Macaca mulatta: one gene and its partners. The protein of the gene in region 3 interacts with the protein of the main gene of each other region in a biochemical or structural test. Links are inferred from orthologs where the notes say so. Each region holds a gene or a part of one and is shown on either strand. Other genes may lie near its edges.

The links.
Region 1: the proteins of DAXX (region 3) and RASSF1 form a complex in vitro, tested with the Homo sapiens proteins (4 studies listed by BioGRID and IntAct, with this or other methods). The link is inferred for Macaca mulatta from reciprocal best matches to the Homo sapiens genes DAXX and RASSF1.
Region 2: the proteins of DAXX (region 3) and HDAC1 form a complex in vitro, tested with the Homo sapiens proteins (2 studies listed by BioGRID, with this or other methods). The link is inferred for Macaca mulatta from reciprocal best matches to the Homo sapiens genes DAXX and HDAC1.

Annotation. Positions count from the first base shown.
Region 1 is NC_133407.1:113,814,861-113,818,510, reverse strand, and holds part of RASSF1 (ras association domain-containing protein 1), read left to right. Parts: intron 1-696; exon of another isoform or gene 697-805; intron 806-920; coding exon of another isoform or gene 921-932; coding exon 933-1,039; intron 1,040-1,387; coding exon 1,388-1,789; exon of another isoform or gene 1,790-2,928; intron 2,929-3,356; exon of another isoform or gene 3,357-3,504; intron 3,505-3,650. UniProt on the Homo sapiens protein: Potential tumor suppressor. Required for death receptor-dependent apoptosis. Mediates activation of STK3/MST2 and STK4/MST1 during Fas-induced apoptosis by preventing their dephosphorylation.
Region 2 is NC_133406.1:208,585,181-208,588,930, reverse strand, and holds the start of HDAC1 (histone deacetylase 1), read left to right. Parts: upstream 1-1,522; 5' UTR 1,523-1,588; coding exon 1,589-1,637; intron 1,638-3,750. UniProt on the Homo sapiens protein: Histone deacetylase that catalyzes the deacetylation of lysine residues on the N-terminal part of the core histones (H2A, H2B, H3 and H4).
Region 3 is NC_133409.1:148,970,295-148,972,526, forward strand, and holds the end of DAXX (death domain-associated protein 6), read left to right. Parts: intron 1-41; coding exon 42-267; intron 268-421; coding exon 422-887; intron 888-1,047; coding exon 1,048-1,270; intron 1,271-1,462; coding exon 1,463-1,522; 3' UTR 1,523-1,704; downstream 1,705-2,232. UniProt on the Homo sapiens protein: Transcription corepressor known to repress transcriptional potential of several sumoylated transcription factors. Down-regulates basal and activated transcription.

The DNA of each region.
Region 1 (3,650 bases), on a different chromosome or scaffold from region 3:
AAAGGAGCTGAGCAGGAGCTGCAGGGGGGGTAGGAGGAAAACTGGCAGTGTAGCCCCTGGGAGTCAAAGGGAGCAAGCTTCAAATGATGCTGAGTGGGTGAGAATGGAGAATGGAACACTGCATTCCATTTGGCAGCGCATAGATCGCTGAGGACCCTGTCCTGGGCAGTTTCCTGGAGGGAGAGGCAAGCCTGGCTGAAGTGGGTAGATGGGAGAGTGAAGGCGAAGGATTAGAGTGTATAGAGACCAATGTTTTGGTCTGAGGGGAGTACAGACAGATGACAACCAGAGGGCAGAGGTAGGTTAAAGGTGTTTAGTTTTTCCTTCAAGTAAATGGGCAGATGTATTCCATAGAAGTTCCCAATGAAGGGCCGGGCGCGGTGGCTCACGCCTGTAGTCCCAGCACTTTGGGAGGCCGAGGCGGGTGGATCACCTGAGGTCACGAGTTTGAGACCAGCCTGGCTAACATGGTGAAACCCTGTCTCTGCTAAAAATACAAAAATTAGCGGGGCGTGGTGGCGGGCGCCTGTAATTCCAGGTACTCGAGAGGCTGAGGCAGAAGAATCGCTTGAACCCAGGAGGCGGAGGTTGCAGCGAGCCGAAATCGCGCCATTGCACTCCAGCCTGGGTGACAAAAGGAAGACTCCGGTTTTTGGTTTTTTTTTTTTAATTGCCAATGAGGAAAGGGGAAGCTCTGTGCTAGGCGACAGAGATCCCAACTGTTGAGCAGGCCTCTGCTGTGGCCTTCCGGCCGGTTTCCAGACACCCAGGGTGGCCAACATTAAAGTCCGCATAGCAGTGTAAGGTAAAACACTGAAGCCGGGCCTGCGGAGCCTGGCGGGCAACGGCCCTCTTCCTGGGGCTTCCCTTCAATCTCCCGGACATTTCCCCGACCTGGGGCTCCTCCGCCTCACGGCTAGGCCTCTCTGCAGATTGCAAGTTCACCTGCCACTACCGCTGCCGCGCGCTCGTCTGCCTGGACTGCTGCGGGCCCCGGGACCTGGGCTGGGAACCCGCGGTGGAGCGGGACACGAACGTGGTGAGCGCGGGGCCGAGGGCGTATGGGAAGGGCGAGGACGGGCAGGCCACAGCGCAGGCATTCTCGAAGACTGCCTGGGTGCTGCGCGCAAGGAGCGTTCTAAGTGCCGATTTCCCGGCGGCAGAGAGAGGCTAATTCTGAGCGAGGGCTGAGAGGGGTGCCTGGATTGCCGGCTCCGCAAGGCCTCCACCGGCTGCTAGCAGACCCCAGCCGCTAGCAGTCCCCAGCCAAGGCGGACGCAGGCTCCGCGCACGCGCACTTCCCGCACCTTCCCGCCCTCGCCTCCGGCCAGAGGCCACCCTTGTGCGCTTGCGCGGACGCTGGCACCCGCCCCGTTCCCTGTGGTAGGTGGGGTCTCTGAGTGGAGCTGCCGGAGCGATGAGGTCATTCCTCGGGGCTAAGTGTGCGTGTCCCCGCCCCGGCGTTCCTCCCCCAATGACACAAGAGCTAGATCCCGGCGATCTACGTTTCAGTCTTAACGGTTGCGGCGCGGCGCTGGCCCGGGCGCACGCGCACACTGACACGCGTACACGCACGCACGCGACCGGGGCGGTGGTTGGTGGCTACGGACGCGCGGGACCAGGGGGACGGGCGGGTGCGGCGATGGGCGAGGCGGAGACGCCTTCTTTCGAGATGACCTGGAGCAGCACGACGAGCAGTGGCTACTGCAGCCAAGAGGACTCGGACTCGGAGCTCGAGCAGTACTTCACCGCGCGAACCTCGCTAGCGCGCAGGCCGCGCCGGGACCAGGTGGGAGCCCGGGGGTGCCGGCGGGGGACGGGAGGCGATTGCTGGAGCTCCGCCCTCCCCGGTCCGTTGCCGCGTCCTGGGTCGGTGGGCAGCCCCACCCTCCCGGCTACGTGGCTCCCCGCGTGTCCTGGCCGGTGGCCTGCCCGCAGAACCGTGTGTAAGACCCCGATTCCACCGCCTCGATACTGGTTGCCTGGGCCCCCATGGTTTCTGTCACAGACAGGTTGAACAGGGAAAGCAGCTGTGTGGCTTGTGGTAAACCTGAGCCGGGCATTATCAAGCTATGACTAAAGCCGACCGAGCAGTCTGGACTAGCACCTCGATTTCCGCGTTCAGATGCTCCTGCTCCCTCCTTGGGGAGACTAGGGGAGGAAGTGGAGAGGGAGGAGTCCTCGCCAGGAATTGAGAAGTATGTTTAGGAAAACTGAGAGGCAGAGAGAGATCCTGCTCCTCCATTTGCACTCCTTTACGGAGCCAGCTGAGCCCTCACCTCTTCCCTGTTCTGGCCTGTCACCAGCTGCTGGAATGTGAAAGATTTTGATCCCTTCCTCTAGGGTGGATCTGGAGAAAGATTTGGAAATAGGAAATAGGATAGGAAAGAAGTCTTATTTTGGACCATAAGCATTCAGGAGCACTTTACCCACAAGAAGGGGGAAGGGTAGATTATAAAATGCCTAAAGAGGTGGAAAGAGATCCAGGTTACTAACCCAGGACTGTAAGGTGTCTCGGAACCTCCTAGGTATCCCCATTATTAGAGAACTCTGTGCCAGATGTCATGGGTGTGACCACCAGGCTCAGAGAACCAGGCCCAGGCACCAGGAAAAAGAAATAGGGACTGTGAAGCTCAGTATGCCTGGCAGCAATGGGGCGGAAATCCTTATTTAAGTGAAGAAAGTGGAGTTGTGAGTGATGCTTTGGATAAAATTTTACAAAATTCCTTACAAAAGGGGTGGTGCTCAGCACCCCAAAATCTTAGCCCAGAGCTTGGGTGCAAGGGTTGAGTGTAAACCCCTGGGCTTGTCTTCATGTCACTCAGTCCTGAGCCATTTTCCACTGTGGGAAGGTGGGAAAACCACAAGACACTAACCAATTGAAAAGGAGGGCTAGGCCGGGCGCGGTGGCTCAAGCCTGTAATCCCAGCACTTTGGGAGGCCGAGACGGGTGGATCACGAGGTCAGGAGATCGAGACCATCCTGGCTAACACGGTGAAACCCCGTCTCTACTAAAAAATACAAAAAAACTAGCCGGGCGAGGTGGCGGGCGCCTGTAGTCCCAGCTACTCGGGAGGCTGAGGCAGGAGAATGGCGTGAACCCGGGAGGCGGAGCTTGCAGTGAGCCGAGATCGGGCCACTGCACTCCAGCCTGGGTGACAGAGCAAGACTCCGTCTCAAAAAAAAAAAAAAAAAGAAAGAAAAGGAGGGCTAGCCACGGAGGCACACACCTGTAATCCCAGCTACTTGGGAGGGTAAGGCAGGAGGATCACTTGAACCTGGGAGGCAGAGATTGCAGTGAGCCAAGATCGTGCCAATGCACTCCAGCCTGAGTGACAGAGCGAGACTGTCTCAAAAATAGAAAAGGAAGCCAAGTGCGGTGGCTCACACCTCTAATGCCAATGCTTTGGGAGGCCGAGGCAGGCGGATCATTTGTGATCAGGAATTCGAGGCCGGCCTGGCCAACATGGTGAAACCCTGTCTCTACTAAACATATAAAAATTAGCCGGACATGGTGGTGTGTGCCTGTAGTCCCAGCTACTTGGGAGACTATGAATCACTTGAACCGGGAGGCAAAGGTTGCAGTCAGCCAAGATCGCGCCACTGCACTCCTGCCTGGGTGACAGGGTAAGACTCTGTCTCAAAAAAAA
Region 2 (3,750 bases), on a different chromosome or scaffold from region 3:
TAAAGCTATTGCACAGTACTTGGCAATGTCTAGAGACAATTTTGGTTGTCACAGCCTGCGGGGAAGGTGCTACTGGCATCTAGTGGGTAGAGGCTAAGGATGCTGCTTAATTTTTTTTTTTTTTTTTTTTTTTTTTTTTTGGAGACAAGAGTTTCGCTCTAGTTGCCCAGGCACAGAACAGCTTCCTACAAAAAAGAATTACCTGGCCCAAAATGTCATTAGCTTCCAAGCTGAGAAACCTGCTCTTCTAGGCCAGGCACCATGGCTCATGCCTGTAACATTGGGAGGCCGAGGCGGGCGGATCCTGAGCTCAGGAGTCGGAGACCACCTTGACCAACATGGAGAAACCTCGTCTCTACTAAAAATACAAAGTTAGCCGGGCGTGGTGGCGCATGCCTGTAAGGCCAGCTACTCGGGAGGCTGAGGCAGGAGAACCGCTTGAACCCAGACGCAGAGATTGCGGTGAGCCGAGATCACACAGCACAGATCACACCATTGTACTCCAGCCAGGGCAACTAAAGCGGAACTGTCCTCAGGGAAGGGAAGGGAAGGGAGGGGAGGGGAGAGGAGGGGAGGGGAAGGGAGGGGAAGAGAAGGGAAGGAAAAAGGAAAGGAAAAAGGAAAGGAAAGGAAAGGAAAGGAAAGGAAAATCTGCTCTCCTATCATAGGATAATCCCATTTCTTCCTGTCTAAAGAGACTCCTACTTAAGTCATCCTGGGTGACTGCTTCAGGGAGGTAGGTTTTGGAGTCAGAAAGGCTGGGTTCTGTCACTTTGTTACAGTGCCTCTGGTGCAAAGAAGGCATTCAAAAAACCCTGTACAGTTGAAAAATTGAATTTAATTACTTTGTGTAACTTTGAGTAATTCACAGAAATCTGAACTTCTTTATCCTGTCCTGTAAAATGGAGGTAAAAAGCCCTTGGCCGAGAGGTGTTTTGAGGAAAAACTGAAATAACATTGGTAAACTGTCGCACAGTACTTGGCACACAGCAGCCCCTCGACAAACAGCTTTCTTTCCCTTTCTTGTCAGTTTCTTCCTCTCAAAACCAGCGTGTTGCTTTTCTTTTTAATTTAATTATTTTTCTGTAGCCCTCCTTTGCGATCACAAACTCGCTTTCTAACCCAGGTTCAGCCCTTTTATTGGCTGAGTGACCTTGTGCAAGTCACTTTTCCCCTGTAGGCCTCGGTTTATTCTCCGTAAAATCAGAAAGTTGGCCTCCGATCTCCAAGCACGCTTTTCACGACCAAGTGGGACTGTTAAGTTTACGGAGCTGCTTTCCTCCCCCGGGACTGATGGTACGGTCCCCGGGCGGCTCCCCACCCATCTGTCGCAGACCTTGGTACAGGCCCAGGGGGCCCTCGGCGGCCTCTCCGGGCTGCCCTTGCCCCCTGCCGAGTTCCGGGCCCGTGTCTGCGCAAGCTGATTGGCTGGAGCGGTGCCCGGGCTGCGCGGCTATAGGTGAGCTCAGGAGGGGACGGGCGGGGCGGGCCGGAGACCCGCCCCCTCCCCCCTGGGTCGGACGCTGAGCTGAGCCGCGGGCGGGAGGGCGGACGGACCGACTGACGGTAGGGACGGGAGGCGAGCAAGATGGCGCAGACGCAGGGCACCCGGAGGAAAGTCTGTTACTACTACGACGGTGAGCACTGTCCTCGCGGCGGGGGCGGGGCCGGGCCGGGCCGAACCGGGGACCTGGAGGCTGAGGCTGGAGCGCCGATGGGAGGCTGCGGGAGGCTGAGGCGCTGGGGAGAGGCTCGGAGAGGAGGCTGCGAGGGGGAAGTCGAGGCTGAGGGAGGAGGCTGTGAGGAAAGGAGATCGAGGCTGAGATCGAGGGGATCGCGTGGGGGAACCCTGAGGTAATCTTGGTGGGAAGATTCTGAGGAAGTCTGATGTGGAGAGTTTGATGTGGAGAGTTTGAGTGGGACTCCTAGAGGGGAGGGTGCGTCCGAGGAGGGAGGCTGAATCTGATGGAGACGGCTGCAAGGATACATTTTCTTGCCGAGAACCCAAAGCTCTTCCCTGCCCCGTCTCTTCCTCATCTTTTCTGGGAGAAGAGCCCTGCACGACTGGTCGCCCGCCTCCCCTCCCCCAGCCTCTGAGCGGGGCCTGCGGTTGCTACTGCGACGTGGGGCGCCAGGGGTTGCAAGGAGAAGGATGCAACCTGTTAAAACAGGCTTCTCACTTAATCTCTCAAGCAGGTTACTGTGTTCGAGGAAGTGTTGAGGGGCTGGGGCGGTGGGAATGATCGGGTCCCAGTGACCGAAGTTCTCTCCGTGTCAGAGCTCAGAGTGTTAGAGGAGCACAGAGAATAGGCACCGAACTCCACCTGAGGAGTCAGCGAAGGAGGGGACGTCTCAGGACCTGAAGAACAGGAGTTCTTAGCCAGGCAAAGGGAAGGCAAAGATAACAGCAAGTTTCAGAGGCAAGAGAGAGGACAGCACCTTTGAAAAACAGGCATTTGACCGGGCGCGGTGGCTCACGCCTGTAATCCGAGCGCTTTGGGAGGCCAGGGCAGGCGGATCACTTGAGGTCAGGAGTTCGAGACCAGCCTGGCCAACATGGCAAAACCCTGTCTCTACAAAAATATAAAAAGTAGCTGGGCGTGGTGGCGCGCGCCTGTAATTCCAGCTACTTGGGAGGCTGAGGCAGGAGAATCCCTTGAACTTGGGAGGTGGAGGTTGCAGTGAGATGAGATCAGGCCACTGGATTCCAGCCTGGGTGACAGAGCAAGACTCTGTCTCAAAAAAAAAAAAAAGGGAAGAAAGAAAAGCAGGCATTTGTAACAGTATGGCTGAGACATAGATTTGGGGGCCTATTGTAGAAGGTGGGGACCCGGGGCGAGGGAAGTGTTGCAAATAATGTGGTTGCTGAAGTAAATGGAGACCGACCAGGTGAGGTGGCTCACACCTGTAATCCCAGCACTTTGGGAGGCCAAGGCTGGTGGATCATCTGAGGTCAGGAGTTCGAGACCAGCCTGGCCAACATGGCGAAACCCCGTCTCTACTAAAAATACAAAATTAGCCGGGCATGGTGTCGCGCACCTGTAATCCCAGCTACTCTGGAGCCTGAGGCAGGAGAATCCCTTAGAACCCGGGAGGTGGAGGTTGCAGTGAGCCAAGATCATACCACTGCACTCCAGCTTGGACAACGGAGTGAGGCTATGTCTTAAAAAAAAAAAAATGTAAACAGGGACCAGACCATGAAGGGCTGGGCATGCTGTCCCAAGGAAGTTGGACTTTATTGAGGGCACTTGTGAATGATTCAAGTTTTATGCAGGTTAGTGACATCATCAGGTTTATACCTTAGAAATTAAAGTCATGGGCTGGGCACGGTGGCTCACACCTGTACTCCCAGCACTTTGGGAGGCTGAGGAGGGCAGATCACGAAGTCAGGAGATCGAGACCATCCTGGCTAACTTGTGAAACCCCGTCTCTACTAAAAATACAAAAAAATTAGCCGAGCGTGGTGGCGGGCGCCTATAATCCCAGCTACTTGGGAGGCTGAGGCAGGAGAATGGTGTGGATGCGGGAGGTGGAGCTTGCAGTGAGCGGAGATCATGCCACTGCACTCTATCCTGGGCGACAGAGGGAGACTCCGTCTCAAAAAAAAAAAAAAGAGAAAGAAATTAAAGTCATGGGGTCCAGGTGCAGTGGCTCACGCCTGTAATCCCAGTACTTTGGGAGGCCGAGGCAGGAGATCACTCGAGGCCAGGAGTTCAAGACCAGCCTGGCCAACGTGGTGAAACCCCGTCT
Region 3 (2,232 bases):
TAGGGCAAGGGATTCCTTAGAGAAACTTCTTTGTCCCCCAGGGCCCTAGTGGAATGGCATCCCAGGGGTGCCCTTCTGCCTCCAAAGCTGAGACAGATGACGAAGAAGATGAAGAGAGTGATGAGGAAGAGGAGGAGGATGAGGAGGAGGAGGAGGAAGAAGAAGAAGAGGAGGAGGCCACAGATTCTGAAGAGGAGGAGGATCTGGAACAGATGCAGGAGGGTCAGGAGGACGATGAAGAGGAGGAGGAAGAGGAAGAAGCAGCAGGTATGTCAAGGGAACATTCTCCTCACCTGTCATTTGTTTTTGTTAGGCATAAGCCACCTGTTTGAGACCTTTCCCTTCCTCCTCCTAGTGTCCTCTCAGCAGTATTTTTTCCCCTCATTCTCGGGCTACCCTCTCCCCTTTTCTTCTTTTCCAGGTAAAGATGGAGACGGGAGCCCCATGTCCTCACCACAGATCTCCACTGAAAAGAACCTGGAACCTGGCAAACAGATCAGCAGGTCTTCAGGGGAGCAGCAAAACAAAGTGTCACCCTTGTTACTGTCAGAAGAACCCCTGGCCCCCTCCAGCATAGATGCTGAAAGCAATGGAGAACAGCCTGAGGAGCTGACCCTGGAGGAAGAAAGCCCTGTGTCTCAGCTCTTTGAGCTAGAGATTGAAGCTTTGCCCCTGGATACCCCTTCCTCTGTGGAGATGGACATTTCCTCTTCCAGGAAGCAATCAGAGGAGCCCTTCACCACTGTCTTAGAGAATGGGGCAGGCATGGTCTCTTCTACTTCCTTCAATGGAGGCGTCTCTCCTCACAACTGGGGAGATTCTGGTCCCCCCTGCAAAAAATCTCGGAAGGAGAAGAAGCAAACAGGATCAGGGCCATTAGGAAACAGGTAATAACAACAGGAGGAGGAAGAGGGAAGCCAAGGAGGGATTGCAGGGGACTTTCGGAGAGGAATATTGGGGAACTGAGTCTGCTGGGAGAGACTGGACTGCCCTCCTCCAGCCTCAGTCTTCCCTTACCCCTCCGCATATTTATGTTTCGGTTTCTAGCTATGTGGAAAGGCAAAGGTCAGTGCATGAGAAGAATGGGAAAAAGATATGTACCCTGCCCAGCCCACCTTCCCCCTTGGCTTCCTTGGCTCCGGTTGCTGATTCCTCCACGAGGGTGGACTCTCCCAGCCATGGCCTGGTGACCAGCTCCCTCTGCATCCCTTCTCCAGCCCAGCTGTCCCAAACCCCCCAATCACAACCTCCTCGGCCCAGTACTTACAAGGTAAGAAGGGGAGGCCGTGTTTCCTCTGATAATTTGTTCTCTTTCATTGTCTGTTTCAGCTGCTCTGTCTGAATATTGCACCTGCCACATCCTGTCTCTTTTTCCCACCCGTTTTATCCTGTAAATCCTCCTGTCTGTTTCTTTTCTCCTGTACTCTAGATCTCTGACTCTTTGTCTCTGACTTCCCTGCAGACAAGTGTGGCCACACAATGCGATCCAGAAGAGATCATCGTGCTCTCAGACTCTGATTAGCTGCCTCCCCTTCTCCCTGCCTCCAGAATGTTTTGGGATAGCATGTGGAGGAATGTGGGAAGCAGATGACTGAGGAAGGGATGGACTAAGCTAATCCCCTTTTGGTGGTGTTTCTTTAAAAAAAAAAAAAAAGCTTAAGTTTTACACAGAAACATTAATAATAAAGTTCTTTTCTTACTGTATCACTGTCTTTTTCTTGTCCTTCTACTGTTACAGATTGGCATTAGCTGTCCCCTTGCTCAGGGTTAGCCCAATATCCCCGGGGTAGTCCCGATCTGTCCTTTCTAGCCTGGTCTTTTGTTGTTGTTGTCTCGCTGTGTCGCCCAGGCCAGAGTGCAGTGGTGCGATCACAGCTCACTGCAGCCTGGACCTCCCAGTCTCAAGTGATAATGCCCCAGTCTCCCGAGTAGCCGGGACTACAGGCGCGTGCCACCATACCTGGCTAATTTTTTGTTTTTGTTGTTTGTATTTTTTGTAGAGACAGGGTTTCGCCATGTTGTTCAGGCTGTACTTTTTTTTTTTTTTTAAGTGCTTCAGCCGCCTTAACGCACTTTACTTTTTCACTTCGTGCAGTAGGAGTGAAAAAGCCAATGAGGGGCCGACTCAAGGTTATTTGGCCAATCCAGGCCCGGAGAAAGGGGGCGGGGCTTCAGGGGGCTGTAAGGAGCTAGGAAAAGGGCGATTAGATCCCACCAACCAGCTAATGGTCA